Linked DNA regions of Canis lupus familiaris. The protein of the gene in region 1 purifies or fractionates together with the protein of each later gene. This does not show direct contact. Links are inferred from orthologs where the notes say so. Each region holds a gene or a part of one and is shown on either strand. Other genes may lie near its edges.

The links. Proteins that work in one complex are often made in the same cells at the same time.
Region 2: the proteins of RNF187 (region 1) and YAP1 purify together in Homo sapiens (affinity purification with western blotting; 3 studies listed by BioGRID, with this or other methods). This does not show direct contact. The link is inferred for Canis lupus familiaris from reciprocal best matches to the Homo sapiens genes RNF187 and YAP1.

The regions. Positions count from the first base shown.
Region 1 is NC_049235.1:239,614-245,723, reverse strand, and holds the start of RNF187 (E3 ubiquitin-protein ligase RNF187), read left to right. Parts: upstream 1-2,556; coding exon 2,557-2,600; intron 2,601-3,023; coding exon 3,024-3,753; intron 3,754-5,096; coding exon 5,097-5,189; intron 5,190-5,383; coding exon 5,384-5,605; intron 5,606-5,944; coding exon 5,945-5,947; 3' UTR 5,948-6,110.
Region 2 is NC_049226.1:29,540,134-29,545,547, forward strand, and holds part of YAP1 (transcriptional coactivator YAP1), read right to left. Parts: intron 1,692-5,414; coding exon 1,561-1,691; intron 1-1,560. UniProt on the Homo sapiens protein: Transcriptional regulator with dual roles as a coactivator and corepressor. Critical downstream regulatory target in the Hippo signaling pathway, crucial for organ size control and tumor suppression by restricting proliferation and promoting apoptosis.

The sequences.
Region 1 (6,110 bases):
TGGACATTGCTGCTATAAACATTGGGATGCAACTCATGCACACATTTTCGGATGGATGACTACTACAACTTGTTCATTCTCTATTACTGGAAATTTGAGGTTTTTGGTTTTTTTCCCCAAATAGTGATGTGACAAACATTTCTCAAAACCAAACCAAGCCAAATCAGGAAAGGTTTTATTTCCATTTGGGTTTATTTTAATAGATCATATTTTGGAAAAAGAAATTGCAAAGGTTATTAAAATTCTGAAGGTCCTGACTACATATTGCTACCTTGTCTCCCAGAAGCAATATTTGCAAAATCCAGGTTTTTTTTTTTTTTGGGGGGGGTGTCTGCTAACTTAATGGTGAAGAAAAATCTTATTTTATGTTCCTATTTCTTAACCTGGCCAGAGTGTATTTTTCCCCCACATCTATGATCTGAACAAAAGGTTTATAACAGCTGTGATTTGGTTTCAAAAAGGAAAGAAAACATATAGAAACCTAATAGAAGATTGCTCGCTTTGGCAGCACATATAGAAACCTAATAGAAGAGGAAAGGAAGCTACACATAGACGAAGGTGATAGTAGGCAACAAATGCGAATAAGACAGAACTACATCAAGTCAGGTACCAGAACATCCAACCTCACTAGCTGAGGAAGCCCGCTGGAGACAGCCAGGCTGGAGTCCACACTGAGAGCCCTGGGTGGCGTGTCCTCCCCTGAGGTAAGACTTCTAACTGACCGTCTCCAAAGGGCTGTGTTTATAGGGCAAATGTCGGGGTCTGAAGCTAGGCATCTGTTCCCCTAGGAAGAGCGAGCTGCATTTTCACTGCAATATGTACTATATTTTCAAGGATCCTGGGCTAGGTGTGTCTGCCTACCCTCCTGGAACCCATCCTGGAGGGCCAGCCCTGCCTGCAGCAGGACAGGATGCAAGACAAGATTTGAGGCTCTATGTGTCCAGACCAGAAGGGCCGGTGCCGACCTGGAGGCCAGATGACATATTTTAAATAACCAGTCTCTCAAGATCATGCACACAGCCTGAGTCTCACAAACCACATCTTAGCCTGCCTGTGCATGTGCAGGTGCAGGTGGTCAGTCCCGCTGAGCAGATCACAGAAACCTCTATCCATACACAACAATCTATTCAGTAATTGTTTTTTTCTGTGAACTGACACATCCTATGGGGGGGGGGGGCTATTTCTCAATTATATTTTTTCTGTACCAAATTTTATGAACTTTTGTATGTTTGTAGTTCAAACTTTGCAAGTTTGGCTTTTGACCATTCCTGTTCCTATTTACTGTTCTACTCACTGAATATCATGGAATTTGTTGAACTCCTTCCTTCCTCTCTCTGTTCTCTTCACTAGGTTCTTTTTGTTGTTGTTGTTGTTTAGGGTTTTATTTATTTATTCATGAGAGACAGAGAGAAAGAGAGGCAGAGACACAGGCAGAGGGAGAAGCTCCATGCAGGGAGCCCAATGCAGGACTCCATCCCAGGACATGGGGATAATGCTCTGAGCGGGAGGCAGAAGCTGAACAGCTGAGCCACCCAGGCATCTCATCTCCATTAGGTTCTTAGTTTACCCAACTAATTGGGTGCGCTGGGTTTGAAGCCTTCTTCTGACCATTATGGAACAGAACTAACCTTACTTCGCTAGTTACACTTTCCATGCATTCTCAGGTCTATGCCAAATTTTAATAACACAAAACTGGAAGCAATGTAACACAATCTGCATCTGTATGGAATAACAAACTAATTTTTTAACACTTAAAAATTATGTAGTGCTAAGTTACAGTAATTTTTTATTTCAACTGCATGCTTGCTTGTTTTGAAAATAACTGTGGAGGCTGAGAAAATTAGGGCCATTCAAGTTTAACATTGGCACAAGCACACTGTAGCTTTGGTAGCAGTCTCAGACCACTGCGACCAGGCTACTGTGACCAGGTACTGAACTCTACCTTACCCTGGCTACAGAAAAAAACAAAAACAACAACAACAACAACAACAAATCGCGCCCTTATTAGAATAAGGAAGCAAGAGCTTGTGAGACCTCTTTACTGGAGACTCTCACACCCCCACCATTACTGAAAAATCCCACCTTCCTCCTAGACCAGCCCATAAAAACCCAGTTGGAGCCCACCTCGGGGTCCAAGTCCCTGCTCCGCTGTGTCGGGTGTACTTGGACCCAAGCTCGAGCTTGTTAATAAACCCTCATGTGTTTGCATCGGTGTCGGCTCCTTGGTGGTTTCTCGGATTCGCAACCTTGGGCACAATACAACCAACCAGATTGCTCCTCTCTCCAAATTTTTCCCCCTAAAGAAATGCTAACAAATGTCTGGGATCCTGGAGCTTTGGGTCTCATGGGACATACTCATTCCCTGCCTCCGGATTCCTCCGCTAGGGACGCGCGGGACAGTGGGCTGGAGGCCTGTTATGCCCGGGGACAGGACCGGTCCCGTGCGGGGCGGTTCACGCGAGGAGGCGCGTGCAGAGCGGATGCAGCAGGAGAGGGAACACTCGGGGAACCGCATGCAGAGAGGATGCGCCGGGAGAGGGCCCACGCGTCGAGGGGATGCACCGGGAGCGGGCCCAGGCGGGGCGGCGCGTGCAGAACCGGTGCACACGCGGGGGTCCCACGTCAGCCGTTTTCAGCCCGGCCCCAGCCCAGCCCCAGCCCCAGCCCCAGCCCCAGCCCCAGCCCCAGCCCAGCGTGGGCGGGGAGCTCGCAGCTCAGGTCCTAGCAGCTTACAAAAACACTTTTATAATGAAATCTTCGTAAAAAAAAATAGGGGCAGCCCGGCTGGCTCAGCGGTTTAGCGCCTGCCTTTGGCCCACGGCCGATCGGGTCCCACGTCGGGCTCCCTGCGTGGAGCCTGCTTCTCCCTCTGCCTCTCTCTCTCGCTCTCCCCTCCCCCTCCCGCCGTGTCTCTCATGAATAAATACATAAAGTCTTAAATAAAAATAAAACGGCTTCCCTCTCGTCCAGGTGTCATTTCCGGGCTAAGCGATAACCCTGGGAAGATTTCGGCCCGTGAGAAGGCGGGCAGGCGGGCCGGCCCGCGGACTGGAGAGCGACCCGCGGGAGGCGGGAGGCGGGAGGCGGGAGCACCGCTGCCAGGACCCCGGAGCGCGGCGCGCACCCCTGCCAGGACCTCGTGCGGAGGCGCGGCCGGCCGGGCTCCGCGAGCGTCAGGCACACCGCTGCCAGGACCCTGCGTGCGGCGCCCCTCCGTCACCGCCCGCGCGTCCCCGCCGCCGTCCGCGTCCCGGCCTGCGCCGCGCCGTGCCCTGCGGCCGCGCTCCCCAGCGCCCTTCTCGGTCCGTGCCCGCCGCCTCTCCGCCGGCCGCGCCCGCCCGCAGGGCCCCCGCCGCCGCCGCCCTGGCGCTCCCCGCGGGCCCAGCCGAGGCCGCCTGCGCCCTGTGCCAGCGCGCGCCCCGAGAGCCGGTGCGCGCCGACTGCGGCCACCGCTTCTGCCGGGCGTGCGTGGTGCGCTTTTGGGCCGAGGAGGACGGGCCCTTCCCGTGCCCCGAGTGCGCCGACGACTGCTGGCAGCGCGCGGTGGAGCCCGGCCGCCCGCCCCTCAGCCGCCGGCTGCTGGCGCTCGAGGAGGCGGCCGCGGCGCCCGCGCGCGACGGCCCGGCCTCCGAGGCGGCCCTGCAGCTGCTGTGCCGCGCCGACGGGGGCCCGCTGTGCGCCGCCTGCCGCATGGCCGCGGGGCCCGAGCCGCCCGAGTGGGAGCCGCGCTGGAGGAAGGCGCTGCGCGGCAAGGTGCGCGCGGGCGGGACCGGCCGCCGCCCCGGACAGGGCCCCGGACGGGGCCCCGTTTCCCTCTCCTCCGCCCTCAGACGGTGGCCCGCACCCCCTCCCCACCCCGGCCCCTGCCCCGCGCCCCCCGCCCCCCGCCCGGTGCTCTGACCCCCGGCATCCTCGGATGGCGCCCGGCCCCTCCTCCCCAGCCGTTCACCCCTCACCCTTAGATGTTGTCCTGTCCCCGCTCTCCAACCCGGGTCCGCGCCCCAGACTGCTCTGCTCCCTGTCCCCTGCCCTGCCTCCCAGTCCCCACCCTCCGCTGGCTTCCCTTCCCCCATTCCGAACCTGGGTCCCTGTCTCCAGATGGCATCCTGCCACCCGCCCCCAGGGTTCCCTGTCTCCCCATCCGGAACCCAGGCCCCTCTCCCGGAGGGACGGTATCCTGTCTCCCCTCTCAATCTTCAGAATGGTGTCCGATCCTCCGTCCAAGCCCCGCCCCGCCCCGCCCGGTCGGAAGGTGCCGGGTCCTCTCTCCAACCAGGGTCCCTTCCCCCAGGACGTGCTTTGTTCCCCCTCGCCCATCCCCGGACATCGCCCCCTCGCCTTATCCCGCACCCCTGAAGGGCGTTCTGTGCACGCTCCCGTCCCTGGACCATTCTCCTCCTCCACCTCGCACACGCAGCCCCTGTTCCATTTTCGGAGGGTTCTACCACTACCCCCGTCCGAGGTGGGCGTTCATCTGTTGGCCCCGCCTCCACGTGTGATGTCACCCCGCAGCAGCCCCACCCCCGCGGGCTGGACCGGGCGGCAAGCGTGGGCTGGCAGCTGCTGTGGTCCAGGTGCCCCCTCCCTTCACCCAGATGCTTCCCCACTCCATCCTGAAAGCTTGGCTGTTGCAGTCGACCAGTGCATGGGGCACCTGACCCTAGGTAGAAACCCACAGTGGAAGAGTCTGGCTGTAGCTGGGGGCCTGGGGACACCCCCTAAAGGGGGGTCACATTATGTCATTAAAGACAGCCTGGGCTCCCCTGAGCACCCTGGGGGTGGATTGGAGCTGGGCTATGCTCCTGCTGGGGGAACCCACAGGTGTAGGGTCTGGGGACCCTAGGTGACAGGAACGCTAGGGAGCCCACGGGATAGTCTCATATCCAGTTGCCTGATTGTATTCCTAGCAGGTGCATTTGTCAGGCTTCTTTCTGCAGAGAGCTTAATGGGCCTGCAGAGACCCCCCTCTGGTACCTGCAGCCCCTTTCTGTGGAGTCTGACAGGTCAAGATCACACACTGAGCCTGTCCCCAGACTGGCTGGGGGACCCTGGGCCTTCTGACTGTGTGTCCACCAGCGACCCGCGTGTCTTTTTAGGAGAACAAGGGGTCGGTGGAGATCATGAGAAAAGACCTGAACGATGCACGGGACCTGCATGGCCAGGCCGAGTCTGCTGCGGCCGTGTGGAAGGCAAGTGGCGTAGGCCTGGGGCGCACCCAAGGAGGGGATGTGGGTGTGGGCCCTGACCCGGATCGGTGGGGGTGCGGCTGGGTGCTGCACACTGCAGCAAACCCCCCTCCCCGGGGTGGGTAGCAGTGGGGCGGGAGGCCCCAGGGTGGATCCCGGGGCACAGGTGTCCCTGCCGTCTGCTTCCTGCCCTGCAGGGACATGTGATGGACCGCCGGAAGAAAGCCCTCACCGACTACAAGAAGCTGCGGGCCTTCTTTGCCGAGGAAGAGGCGCGTTTTCTGCAGGAGGCGGATAAAGACGAGGGGTCCTTGGAGGATGAGGACTCAGACCCGGCTGAGCGCTTTGGGTCCCTGCTGCAGGCTGTGTCGGAGCTGGAGCATAGGCACCGCAACCTGGGCCTCAGCATGCTGCTCCAGGTGGGCACCCCCTTACTGCAGACCCCAAGGGAGGGCGAGGAGGCAACTCACTAGGGCACAGGGCTTCCCACCAGCCAGGCAGCTCCTGCTCAAGGTTGGATGGGAGGACTGACTCTGGGACTCTGGCCTGTAAACACCCCTTGTCTATGGCAGGTCTGGCAGCCCCTGCCCTTTTGTCTTCAGGTCCCTGGGGTGCTGTTCCAATTCTGGAACGGCTGAGTAATCAGCTCCCAGGGGTGGAGTGGCTGCACTGAGGCTCCAGCCTGGGGGAGATGCCAGAAGCTGGGGGCGCCTCAAGGCCTGGGTCTCTCCTCCCCCCTCCTTCCCCTCCCCCTGCAGTGAGCTCCTGCCCCCTCTGCTGGCTCCAGGCCCCAGAAGCTGCACCCACCGTGGCCTGGCCCGCCATTGCTGCCTCCTGGACCCACAGCATCCTTCACCTTCGAGGGTCTGCTCCTAGGTGTACACGCAGGATGTGTACCACAGGTGCCCACCATGGGTTGTGCCA
Region 2 (5,414 bases), on another chromosome or scaffold:
AAGGAGCATGGGAAAGCAGGATCTTGGGATTCTGGGGGGCAGGGGGACTCTGTGCCAGGGCTGAGAGTCAACCTGGTGGTCAGTGTGAAGTCTCCAGGATATGCTTGAATCCAAGAGAGAAATGGAACGTCAGATGAGGGTTTAGGACAGGGAGTACCATACAGCCTGGAAAAAGGATTCTGCCCTTGGTCCTAGTAATGCCGATCACCTGACACCCAGTGACCTTTACCAAGAGACAGAATCTCAAACTACAGCCTAGTGTTCATGAGACATTCTCAGGAAGAATTTGCACAAAGGATGCCCAGCCTATATCCACGTTCTATAGTCTGCCTCTACCCTCGGGCCACACGAGGCCCAACAAGATGGACATTGCAATCACACCAAGCTGAAAGCTTCCTTGTGGGGGGGAAAAGTCATGTGGCTCTGACCTTTCCTGATTCACTGTTGTCTATGTTCAGAGCCTCGTGTACATACACTCAGGTTTGGCAGAACCACAAACTCCGAACACATCTTAGACAGTCTTCAAGATCAAACCTAAAAAACCAGGCCCCCAACCCCAAGTCTAAGACTGAGCAAATGGAAATTCTACTGGACTGGACTGCATGTCTTGGTAGGATAAAAGAAATTTCTTTTTTTTTGTTTAAGATTTTATTTATTTATTCATGAGAGAGAGAGAGAGAAAGAGAGAGAGAGAGAGGCACAGACATAGAGAGAGAAGCAGGCTCCATGTAGGGAGGCTGACGTGGGACTCGATCCTGGGACTCCAGGATCACGCCCTGGGCCGAAGGCAGGTGCTTAACTGCTGAGCCACCCAGGTGTCCCAAAATTTTGTTTTTCTAAGATCATGAAGTTTGCAATTCATCTTCTGAGAACTGAAAGCGTAAGAGAACAGCTTTCCTAAACCAAAGGACCTTTAAATGTTTTTAAAGGTGCATTGTTTAAAACTAGTTAAAAAAAATCCGAAAACCAAAAAGTACAGACAAGAAAGTATTTGTTCCATATGTTAACAAACTGAAACTCCATGAACATTTTACAACCTAAACGGATGAATGGTCATCAAACCTAGGAGTAGGACCTGTGGGTGAGCAGCTTTCACCACAGCTCCATGAGGCCACTGAAGAGTACCTGCAAGCCCCTGCCTGTTGTGCAGTGTGTCTACAGGAGGCACCACCGTACATTTCACGTCCTTAAGCTACAGTCCTTAAAAACATGTGGCCTTCAGGAGCTGCTGCAGGAAGACCAGGTCCCACATCACTGGGGCTGCTCCAGAGGACGACCCCCTTGCATGCCTTCCTTCACGACTCTGCCACATTACATCACTGCGCTGCTTCACAGCGCAGGCAGAAGCAAACACATGACTGGGAACAAGTCCCCCATAAGTCCCCATGGCCCAGGTCCTCCCACAGGAGCCAGCTTCGAATGCTGGAGCTTCACAGGGTTTGTCATGGGTGAGGGTCATTCACAGTGCAGTGCCTGGCCCCCAAGGGTACTTACTTACTCATGGGGTCAGGACCAGCCCCAAGGGGACGCCCGTGAAAGCCACAAGCAGCTCTCACCCACCTGTTGAGAAAGGGATCCGAGCCACTGGTCGTCATCGTCCTCAGTTCCTGAGACATCCCGGGGGAAGGCACTGGATTGGGAGTCCCGCCATCCTGCTCCAGTGTTGGTAACTGGCTACGAAGAGCTAGTTCCTAGAAAAAACAAACAGCAACATGGTCAGTCTACTGCTAACAAACTCTTCATTCAATTTAAAGAAATAAAATGCACATGACCGTGCCAGGTACAGAGTTCAGGTGTTAAACTCTGGTCAAAACTAATAGGTTACCCGGTCAGAAACACCAAGTTCTTTTGCACTTAAGTCACATAAATTCAAAGTCTATCTTGTCTTACAAACCCCTGAACAGATACACAGGATTCCCTAAATTCATTTTGTTATTTCTCTTACTTTGGCAGACCCTCCCAAACCTGTCCTATGGGAAAGGATGGGAAGTGTGGTCTTTCAAAAAAGAATGCCTCTTATAGTTTCTCTCTACTCACCAACCCTCAGCTGATTTTTTGTTCGGCACCAAGGAGTCAAGGCAAAGTCGGAAAAACCACACCAGGTGATAAGCGATAACCACACCAGTGCCCCTGGCTGTCCGGTGTCTGCACCTGACCTCACACTCCTCCATCCCCAGCTGTGCTCAGAGCCATCCAACGTATCCTCAGCAGGACTCTACCTGGATTGCTCAGCAAAGACCATGGGTCACTACCACCCAAATGGCTCTAAAGGGCCTGTCCCAATGGCCCAGACCTCAGTCTCAAATGTGTCCAGGACCTGGAAGCTACATCACCTCATCCGGCCATCCTGACATTGTCCTCGCTCACCTTTCTCATCCACCCAGGCACCCCAACAGCTCCTGCCGTGCCTCTCACACTCCCATTAACCTCTTGTTTGTGGGAGCACAGGCTCCCTTCTCCCTTGGCTTTTCTGATTTGACTAGAAATGTGGCTTTTTATTGCTAAGGACACTGCCTGGCTGTTCAGGAAGGCACACCTGAGGCACCCCGACTCCTAAACCATCAATTCCGCCTCGTGCAGAAAACACTGCTTTTCACTCAGCTTTAGGCCTGCTGAATACACCGTCCTTTACACTGGGGTTTCTTAACTGGAGGATCATGACAGAATGCAGAGGGTCTATGAATTTGGGTGAAGAAAATTCACTTTTATTTTTACTAACTTGTAACTGAAATTCAGCATTCTCTTCAAACACAGATGACAACACTTGTATTTGTCATCCTCTTACTTTGCATCCATGGACAGCGTTTTCATATCCTACTGTAGTTGCAAATTATCTTAAAATACCATTTATGCTCATTACCATTTCAATAGTACAAAAGTTGTAAGACATGCTGTTAGAGCTTGTTATTTACAGATTAATTACTAGGTCACATGGCAGCTCCTCGACCACCTGGATCTCAAGGACCTTCACCTCCACCTATCCGAATCACCCGCTTGCTTGGCTGAGACCATGGGACTTAAGTCTGCAGGCCTGCCTGGGATGAAGACCGGCGTGTCACCTCCCTGAACCGTGTGCACCACAATCACTATCAGTGCATCAAGCTTATGGAACAATCTACCCCTGAGGGTCCTGCATCTCCGGCAACTCTGGAATGGGTGTAGCGATTTCACCCCCAAGAACTCTTGCACACACTCACCCTGCTTTCTCCTCCCACCCAGCTCCTGCATGACCTCAATCCCACTCCATCTGCCCTCCAGCCTCAGGGACTCTACTTCATCTCTTACGATTCCAGTCGACTGGCTCTCTTTTTTTCCCATTAAAAAAATAAAATAGTGGTTTAAGTGACATACAACATTGCATCAGTTTTAAGTATACAATGCAAGGATTTGGTATTAGTACACGCTGTGAAATGACCATAGCAATCCTCTGTCTAGCTACCATCCATCACAACACAGAGTTACAAAAAGTCTTTTCTTCGAATGAAGATTTTTAACATTTATTCTCTTAACAACTTTTAAATATGTACTTATTATGCAGTATTATTAACTATAGCTAATAATTATAATCATTAACTATAGTCACCATGCTGTATAAAGTATGAACCTTTTGACCCCCTGGCAACCACCAATCTGTTCATTTTCTGTAAATTTGGTTGTTTTTTTTCCTTCAATTCCACTTATGAAGTAAGATCACATAGTATTTGCCTTTCTCTGACTTATCTCACTGGGCATAATGCCCTATATGTTCATCCATGTTGTCACAAATGGCAAGATATACACATCTTTATCGACTCAATTGTTGATGGACGCTTAAGTTGGTTAAGTGATTGACAGCTGAATGGACACTGAGGTTTGCTCCACAACTTTGTTATTGTACAAAATGCTGCAGTGAACAGAGGGGTGCATGTATCTTTTTGAATTAGTGGTTTTTGTTGTTGTTGTTGTTGTTTTCAGAGAAATACCCAGAGGTGGAATTGGAAGATAGATTATAGGGTATTTTTATATTTAGCTTTCTGAGGAACCTCCATACTATTCTCCAGAGTGGCTGCACCAGTTTGCATTCCCACCAACAGTGCATGAAGGTTCCTCTTTCTTCAAATTCTCGCTGACCCCTGCTGTTTCCTGTGTTGTTGATTTGGGCCATTCTGACAGGTGGTATCTCATCATGGGTTTCTTTTATAGGATTTTATTTATTTGAGAGAGATTGAGTATGAGGAGGAAAATGGAAAGGCAGAGGAAGAAGCAGACTCTCTGCGCAGGGAGCCTGGACACCAGGCTCCATCCCAGGACCCCAAGATCATGACCTGAGCCACCCAGGTGCCCTGGTTATGGTTTTGATTTCTGTTTCCTTCATGGGCCAATTCCTGGTTCTTTTTCTCCTTCCCCATGAGCTTGAATTCTGAGCCAATCATGTAAAATACACATAATAGGCCCCTTTCACATCCTGAAATACACACATAATTTCATCTCAACAGAGCAAATTGCTGCCCTGAATGAATGTTAAAAGCGTGCTTACTTCATTTCTATACTGAGACTGCTAAGAAATGCTAGAGAAAAATCAAACAGCTACTCAGACTATTATAAATTAATGGTCTTTGGCCTCGAATGGGCCTTTGTACCACTCTAATTTTTTTTTTTGTCCTTTGGTCACCGTTTTCTCACACTCTCATGGTCACCACCCAGCATCTGGCACACGCTTTCGAGTCCATTCCCACCTCTCTCCCATTGAAGTGAGAACACTGTAGACATCATGGAGTCTGGCTTTCTGGTTCTCTTGCCATCCCCACCTCCCCACAGGATCATTCAGTCCCACGGGTCTGTGTAACTCCTCTTCCTGCTAATGAGCAACCTACTCTCCTAGTGGCTTCTGGGGACCTAGGTCATCTATCTGCTCTCCATCCTCCCATCTCCTCCTGCAAAGTGATAAGTACCGTAGAGCAGTGCCCTGCACTCCCTGTGAGGCTATAGCAGGACCTCAATGCCATGTCCTTCCATATGTGCTTTTTGACTAGAACCCCTTTCTTTCTTCCCTATTAAGACCCCATTCCTTTCCCCAGATGACTCTCCATGACGATCTCATCTCCACCTTCGGATTTGATTAGAAGTGATGGTTTAACAGTCTTGGGCATATATGGAACATGTTCTTAGCACTTACTATGCATTATTGTAATTATTTCTTCTCTGTCTCTTAAGGGCACATTGAATGAATGAATGGACAGTTCTGGAGCATAAAACAGTAACTTCTAATGCTCTGAAGAAGTTATGCTGCTATTAAAACATGAGGATACAATCAGAAATAGACTTGAAAATGAATAAAACCATAGGCTCTAGATGAACAGGCAGCTGCAGATCTTCCAAACAATGGGAGTGCCTGCAGATTCCTTAAAAAAGCCTCATTCGTGTTCCACTATCAA